2 linked regions of the Caenorhabditis elegans genome follow. The protein of the gene in region 1 purifies or fractionates together with the protein of each later gene. This does not show direct contact. Each region holds a gene or a part of one and is shown on either strand. Other genes may lie near its edges. The genes, in order: W02D3.12 and Y94H6A.2.

The links.
Region 2: the proteins of W02D3.12 (region 1) and Y94H6A.2 fractionate together in Caenorhabditis elegans (co-fractionation; one large-scale study listed by BioGRID). This does not show direct contact.

The regions. Positions count from the first base shown.
Region 1 is NC_003279.8:6,739,834-6,742,969, forward strand, and holds W02D3.12 (Succinate dehydrogenase assembly factor 4, mitochondrial), read left to right. Parts: upstream 1-2,150; 5' UTR 2,151-2,155; coding exon 2,156-2,186; intron 2,187-2,234; coding exon 2,235-2,473; 3' UTR 2,474-2,547; downstream 2,548-3,136. Other genes in the region: dhod-1 (Dihydroorotate dehydrogenase (quinone), mitochondrial), read left to right, coding at 481-555, 1,019-1,178; cytb-5.2 (Cytochrome b5 heme-binding domain-containing protein), read left to right, coding at 1,455-1,547, 1,599-1,931; Transcription factor unc-37, read right to left, coding at 2,691-2,849.
Region 2 is NC_003282.8:2,728,475-2,733,221, reverse strand, and holds Y94H6A.2 (DUF4781 domain-containing protein), read right to left. Parts: upstream 2,931-4,747; coding exon 2,924-2,930; intron 2,869-2,923; coding exon 2,585-2,868; intron 2,469-2,584; coding exon 2,343-2,468; intron 2,287-2,342; coding exon 2,158-2,286; intron 2,111-2,157; coding exon 1,866-2,110; intron 1,321-1,865; coding exon 1,105-1,320; intron 1,053-1,104; coding exon 818-1,052; 3' UTR 800-817; downstream 1-799.

The sequences.
Region 1 (3,136 bases):
TAGCTAGAACGAGCAAAATCAGCTAGTAATTTGAGAACAAATAATCTCCCGAAGCTGTGACTTGGTGAAGTTAGCAAATTTGAGATTGTAGCTAAAATTAAATTGTTCAATTTTTAATTTGTTTTTTGAGCAGTCTCTTTATGTAATTCGGCCATTTTGCGTGTGTATAATCGAAAATCTAGAACCTTTATGAAATTTTAACATAAATCAAAGAACCCAAACACCAAAAAATCACAACGTTGAACCTTCTTGGCTAGACTATAGACAATTGTCATCATTTTTACCGCATGTCCCCTTGTTATTTCGTTTTCTTTGGCCACTTGTCACCCCGGTTACACTGGGAAAACCAGGCGGCGTATTTAGTTTGATTCGTTTTACTGCGCAAATATGGTAAGTTAAGTTTTCATCATTTTTCAAATCGATAATTTTTCAACAAAAAAAATTGGTTTAATTTTGTTCGCATTGATAGTTTAATTTCAGACTCACAAACGGACAAATTCCAATTATCGGCTGTGGAGGAGTGTTCAGTGGAGCAGATGCATATGAAAAGATTAGGTAAGTGAACTTCCCAGTTCGAGGTCGAGTGGGGAAATTATCAAAAACCATTCCTATCTTGCTAAAATGACCAAATATTATTATAAAACTTTTCAAAAAAAATTTGAAACATTTTTTGTTTCGTTTCAAAAAGCAGTGAAAAATCGGTTTTCCCCTATTTTTCTTTGGAAATCGACGATCAAAAAAATGTTATTCTCCAGTTTTATGTTCTAATTATGTAAAATATGCATATTTCAACATTTTAAAGGTTTAAACATGATACAGTGATATAGATTTTTCGAAAAGTAAAAACACAGTTTTCAACGCCTTTTGACTCAAAATAAAAATTGAATTATAATATTTGACCATTTGAGTACAATATATGGTAAGAATGGTTTTATTGATTTTCCCACAGGCCGTATAGTCCACCGTTATTCAATCAAAGTATTAATTTCAATTTATTTAACTAAATGTAAAATTTCAGAGCCGGTGCTAGTCTGGTCCAACTCTATTCCGCGTTCGTCTATGAAGGATTTCCGGTAATCGGAAAAATCAAACGAGAACTTGTCGAACTTTTACGGAAAGATGGATTTTCGCATGTTTCGGAAGCAATTGGAGCTGATCACAGAGAAAAAACGAAATAATTATATTCCCAAGATTTTTGTTATTTTTTCAGGTTGACTTCATTTTCATGGGTGTTTCAAAATTGTTTTATAATTGAATTATTTTCTTCCGATGTTCAATGTGCCTTTTCATGAGATTGTAGGGTAATTCTTAGTATTTTCTGCATAAATTATTTGATTTCCTTATGTTTTTTTTTTCAATTTATACTAAAGTTTCTGGTTTTCAACCGAAATATATCACTTTTGAATAATTTTCAACGACTTAGAGACCATTTTTTGTTTCAGGGTTCATCAATTATGTCGGAGCTACGTGTCATTTCTCTCGATGAGGTCTCAAAGCACAACTGGGAAGATGCTGATCAATCGTGTTGGATTGTCATCTCCGGAAAGGTAATTTTTTTTTCATTTTTTAAATTTAAATATCGAAATCATTCCTTACAGGTCTACGATGTGACAAAGTTCTTGAATGAGCATCCAGGAGGTGAAGAAGTCATCACTCAATTAGCCGGTAAAGATGCTACAGTTGGATTCCTCGATGTTGGGCACTCAAAAGATGCTATTGAAATGGCCAATGAATATCTCATTGGTCAATTGCCAGAATCAGACGTTCCAAAAGTCGAGACAGCGGCTGCGAAACCTTCGAAAAACGAAAAATCATCATCTCTCCTCAATGATTTCACCGAAATTATGACTTCACCAACATGGACCAACTTCCTGATTCCAACTACAATGGGACTTGTCATTTATGCCGTGTACAAGTGCATGTTCAATTAAATTACCTTAGCTCTTATCCTATTCTTTTGATCTTATGCGCCCACTTTCTTGAAATGCATCAAAGAACATTTGTTTCTATGGACTTTTATATATGTGATAAAGATTTGTTGTCAATATTTTCATATGTTACTGAAGGAAAAATGGGTGGAGCCTTGGAGATATCGATGTAACTTTAGTCGCAAGATTAGTCCTATTGAAACAATTAAAAAAAATATTCAGATCAAATGCTTCGTCAGATTCTTCGTCCAATTTTGAGTATGGATTTTACACAAAAAACAATTTTCTAATTTCTTGACGATTCAGATTCTTCCCGCCGATTCGCAGATATAAAACCAAAACAAAGTGCGAAGGAGAAGGTGATGGCTGAGAAGACACCGAAAGGAGCACTTGATAAAGCAGACGAACAACAATATGAAGATCCTCACCTCAAGAAACATCCGGGAGGTGTGAATAAGTCAACTGGAGAAGTTGGTGGACCAGCTGGACCAGAGCCAACTCGATATGGTGATTGGGAGAGGAAGGGAAGAGTTTCAGATTTTTGAAATGTTTTATTAATTGCTGTTAAAGTCAAGTCAGATCATCATTGTTTTGTAGTGCAAATAAATAAATGTTTTAAACATAGAGTGACATTAATCGTAATAGGGTACACAAATACGAAAATTTGACAAACGAAATTAGAAGAGATGAGAGAGATGAAACGATTATCGTACAGAATAGGGGTTTTGAGTATCATGATCATAAATTCACTGCGGAAAAAAATTAATATTCAACTGCATAGAGAGTTGCCTTCTTCTCCCCTGATCCAGTGACAATGAGTGAGTCGTCGAATGAGATGTCACATGAGAGAACGGAGCTGTTCTCTTTTAGTTGAAAGAGTGATGCTCCGTATGGAGTACGCCAGGCGTTGAGAGCATTGTCCTGAAAAATTGAGATTATGAGGTTTCAATTAGAAAAATTGAGCCAATTACCGTATTTCTTCTATTAATATGGCTGCAATACTATTTTTCGATGGTCTTCCCGCTTGCAAGACTAATAGGGAGTGCAAGAATATTAGGGAGTGCAATACTAATTTTCAGAATATTTTTCTGACTTTGAGCTTACTAGTTTTTTTCTGAAAAAGCTCGAATCTTATGTAAAAATACAAAAAATTTTGATTTTAATTGTAACCTATAAGTTCAAAAACTTCAATTTCGTATAAATTTTGT
Region 2 (4,747 bases), on another chromosome or scaffold:
CACCTCGGCAATTTGACGAACCCTTTCGGCAAAACAAAAAAAAAGTTTTGGCACGCGGCACTTCCCACACAAACGCACATCCCACGCACGCCAATAATTTTCAGATCTATGATTTTTATGTTAAATTCAAAGTTAAAGAAGTGAAGAAGCGTTTTTAATTGTTTTTGTAGTATTTGAAAATTTTCTGTATCGACACTGGCGCCTAGAAAAAACCTTTGAATATTTCATGAATTCAACTTTGCGAAAATTACTCAGTTTTTTTTGTCTTCACAAGGTGTAACGACCCACAAAATCATCCGAGCTTAATCTTCTATTAAAATTCTTGAAAGTCAGATCAAAACGTTCCCCGAAAAATACTAAAATGAGTTTTCCTGCATACTGCTGCCGCCGCTCACATCTATCTTTCTGGCGACTGTGTCATTCAAGGCTTCTATGTCATTCAAACTACTGCCACAGTCATACCATGACAGAACTTTTTTGGATTTTTGTTTTCAAAGAATCTCTAGACCAAGAGCATTCTTTGAACTATAAAAACTTGTAAGATACTTGATGGGTTCCTCGAAAAAAAAAAAGTAAAAATCCCGCAGAATGCCGACTTGCGTGCCATCAAGAACGTGATCTCAAAAGTTCGGAAAGCCTGCAGCGATGCGGTTAGGGAAATTTTAAAAATTTTAAACGTTAATCTGGTCAGTATTTCATGGAGATCAAAATTTATACAAATTGATGTAATAACTCTCGCCACACGTGAAGTTACAGAGCTGCAAACGTGTTACCATACTTATGGCGCAGAAGAAAAATCAATCAACAATAACTTTATTTAGGATACACCTGCAAATATCCAAAACGATTTACGATCATAGTTTTTTCCCAAAAAAGTCTTTTCGAAAAATCCCTCAATCAAGGCGCCGGGTCTTTTTGAATACTCATTTAAGTACCAGTTCACCGGTCCGAAAAAGATAGTAGTGTTGCGCCGAATGATCAACACAAGTCCACATTCATCGCCGAACCGTTTGCAAAGCTTTTCCGCATAATCAATCAATTTGAATCTGTAGCTGAAAAAATGTTTGGATCAAATGTTATGCCATTAAGCCGCAAAATACAAACTCGTATTCCATTGGAAGGGCAGCTTGCAGCTTTCTTTGAAGGTTCTCCTCGTGCCTTTTGCAATCTTGGGTTCTGAGGCTTCGTAAAACAAAAGCATTGCACCCGTTTCGATTGAAAGAAGATTTAAAATTGCGTTTGAAATAGCTGTATGAAGTGAATTGGTACTCCTCAGATGAACCGTCACAGAAATCGTAGACGATCACGTAAAATTTGTGGCTGAAATATTTTGGAAAATCAATTTGAAATCTGACTGTTTGCGATATGGTGTGCAAAAAATGGTTACATTTGTAAGTGGATGTGAGAAAAATTACTGACGTTCACAGCAGGGCTGTCTTTTTTTGAATAAATTTTCGGAAAACGCAGATTTTTTGGCTTTTTTGGTCTTTCGGGACCAAAATCTTTTATATTTTTTCACAAATTAAAAAAATTCCAGAAAAAAATTGGTTGGCCCTCAAAAGCCTAGAAATCATCAGAAATCTGCAAAAATCAACATTTGGAGGAATTTTACGGGCTGCGAAAATCGTGAAAAATGCATTGAAAATTTTTCAGAGCGACTTCTTTCCAGTTCAAAGTGCCTAAATTGACCGGGGTTAAATTGGAATACTTCCTTTGTAAGCCTAATAATGGAAATACTATTCACGTTTTAAATAACTTAACAGATAAAATAATTGCTACCCCGGTCATAATTTAATTTGAAAAAAGTAAAGTTATAATACACAATTACCCTTTTATGTCCCTTGTCAATTTACAAAAATACTCACTTTGTCATGATCTTGCCCAATTCTTTAGTCAAAATATTTCGTATATTTTCACTTCCCTCATTATTGTCTTGCACATTATGGATTAAACTTAAGACTCCATCGTCCCAGTACGAGTGATCTTGACGGTATTCTTCAGCCCATCTATTCATTTTCAGTTGTAATTCTTCGGTTTGCTTCTTTAAACGACTCGGTCCAATCATGTTCTTATCGCAAAACATTCCATTCTGGTACGTCTCCAAAATCAGCTGAATATGATACACTTTATTTAGTGAGGGATGTAGTGAGTACCTACACATTGGGCAAGCACTCCGTCGATTATTTTTCTCCATTTTTCAAAAGTTTCCGTTGGTCGAAGAGGATCACAGTTCATTGCCATTTTGAGAGGATTCGTTTCCTCCTGGTCGAGTTTTATAATCATTTGCTGGAAATTTGAAGCTGTCTAACATTGAAATCTTGTGATTCCTTAATAAGTCCTACCTCTGCAATCCACAAAGGTTTATTATCCGTCACAGCGCCACGAAATAGCTCTTTTGTGTATTTACAAGGATTGTTCATCGTATCCTGCATGTATTTCATCAACGTTTTGATTGTAGCGACCTCATTCTGCAAAATTTTGAGTAAGGGTAAAGGGTGAAGGTTAAAAAGGGTCGTGATTAACTTTTTTCCTGCGCAGAAGGCTTCGTAACCACACTTTGAACCAATATCTATTCCGAACATACCATGTAAAAGTGAGACGTTGTTATAAATGACTTAAGATCACCGAACAACGCGTCCATCTTATGTGACAGTTCCCCAATCTTCTTGTCGAGCGTTTTGAGCTCGCTGAGTATCAGCTCCGTTGATTTGTCATCTTTGTATGCAGCCATCGTAACATATGCACTAACTATAGCACCGCATGCACAAATCGCAGTTAAATGCGGAACCACTGCGGCGGACGCATAAGCCCCATGTACTCCTAGGCAGCCAGTGACCACCGAAATAAATCCCGTCGTGTAGTTTACAGCTGGAAAATTGAGAATTCGATTCAATTTCATATTATTTTAAAAATAGAATCTTACCAGCCATCTTGAAATATATAACTGTCTCCAAATAGAAAAGCAATGATGTCTTATCTTTCTTTTCTCTGTTCTTGTTTTATACTCTAGTGCTACACATTACACGCATGCCATTTTTCTTGTGGAACTAAGTATGAGGAATACTGACATTTTCTTTATCAGGAATGCTAGCGTCTTCCTCATAAAAATTCGGAAAGGGCAAAAATGTCAAAGAAAATTATGTGTTGAAAATACTCAAATATGTCAATAGTACCAAGTGACTCATTTAGGGAACACGATTTTTGGCATAGTAAGTGAGTTCCGAACTAAAGAACTAAACTATAAATTCTGATTTTTTTAAAAGATTTTAAAAGAAAGAAAAGATTTATTCACAAAAAACATGTAAAAGATACATTAGTTTTCCTTGAAGGTATTAGATAAAATATTTATTTAAAAAAAAAGAAATCGCAAAAAGATAAAATGTCGTAGTTTTTATTACAATGGAACGGTTTTGAATAAAAACTACAAATATTCATCGAACACCAGCAATTATCTCAAACTTTTGACCGTACCAGTACTGAAAAAAGTCGCCACTACCAAAAAAAAAGTCAGAACCATTGCCCTTGAAACATCTCTCAATACAGTCACCGGGTCCTCTGGGATAATCGTCTGGGTCACAGTTTACCCAACGTTTGCGAATGTTTCTATGTTTTCGAATAATCCCCACAAAGCCACATTCGGCGCCGAACGTTTCGCGAAGACCACGCACGTACTCACGAAGGTCATGAATGCTGAATATTGATTTAAATTAATTAATGGTGTTTTCTTTAAATAAATACCGTATTTTCCGTATTAGTTCATATTGCATTAACATTAACATTAATTGTCTTCAGTTAAACACATTATAAAAGTATGGTAGTGGCGACTAATATAGAAAATGCGGTACACTGTACTTACTACGACTGTGGAGGTGTTGCATCGAGCATCCTTCGAAGAATCTCCAGGAGATTATGCGGAAAAGCTTTGCGAACGGTTCGGCGATGAATGTGGACTTGTGTTGATCATTCGGCGCAACACTACTATCTTTTTCGGACCGGTGAACTGGTACTTAAATGAGTATTCAAAAAGACCCGGCGCCTTGATTGAGGGATTTTTCGAAAAGACTTTTTTGGGAAAAAACTATGATCGTAAATCGTTTTGGATATTTGCAGGTGTATCCTAAATAAAGTTATTGTTGATTGATTTTTCTTCTGCGCCATAAGTATGGTAACACGTTTGCAGCTCTGTAACTTCACGTGTGGCGAGAGTTATTACATCAATTTGTATAAATTTTGATCTCCATGAAATACTGACCAGATTAACGTTTAAAATTTTTAAAATTTCCCTAACCGCATCGCTGCAGGCTTTCCGAACTTTTGAGATCACGTTCTTGATGGCACGCAAGTCGGCATTCTGCGGGATTTTTACTTTTTTTTTTTCGAGGAACCCATCAAGTATCTTACAAGTTTTTATAGTTCAAAGAATGCTCTTGGTCTAGAGATTCTTTGAAAACAAAAATCCAAAAAAGTTCTGTCATGGTATGACTGTGGCAGTAGTTTGAATGACATAGAAGCCTTGAATGACACAGTCGCCAGAAAGATAGATGTGAGCGGCGGCAGCAGTATGCAGGAAAACTCATTTTAGTATTTTTCGGGGAACGTTTTGATCTGACTTTCAAGAATTTTAATAGAAGATTAAGCTCGGATGATTTTGTGGGTCGTTACACCTTGTGAAGACAAAAAAAACTGAGTAATTTTCGCAAAGTTGAATTCATGAAATATTCAAAGGTTTTTTCTAGGCGCCAGTGTC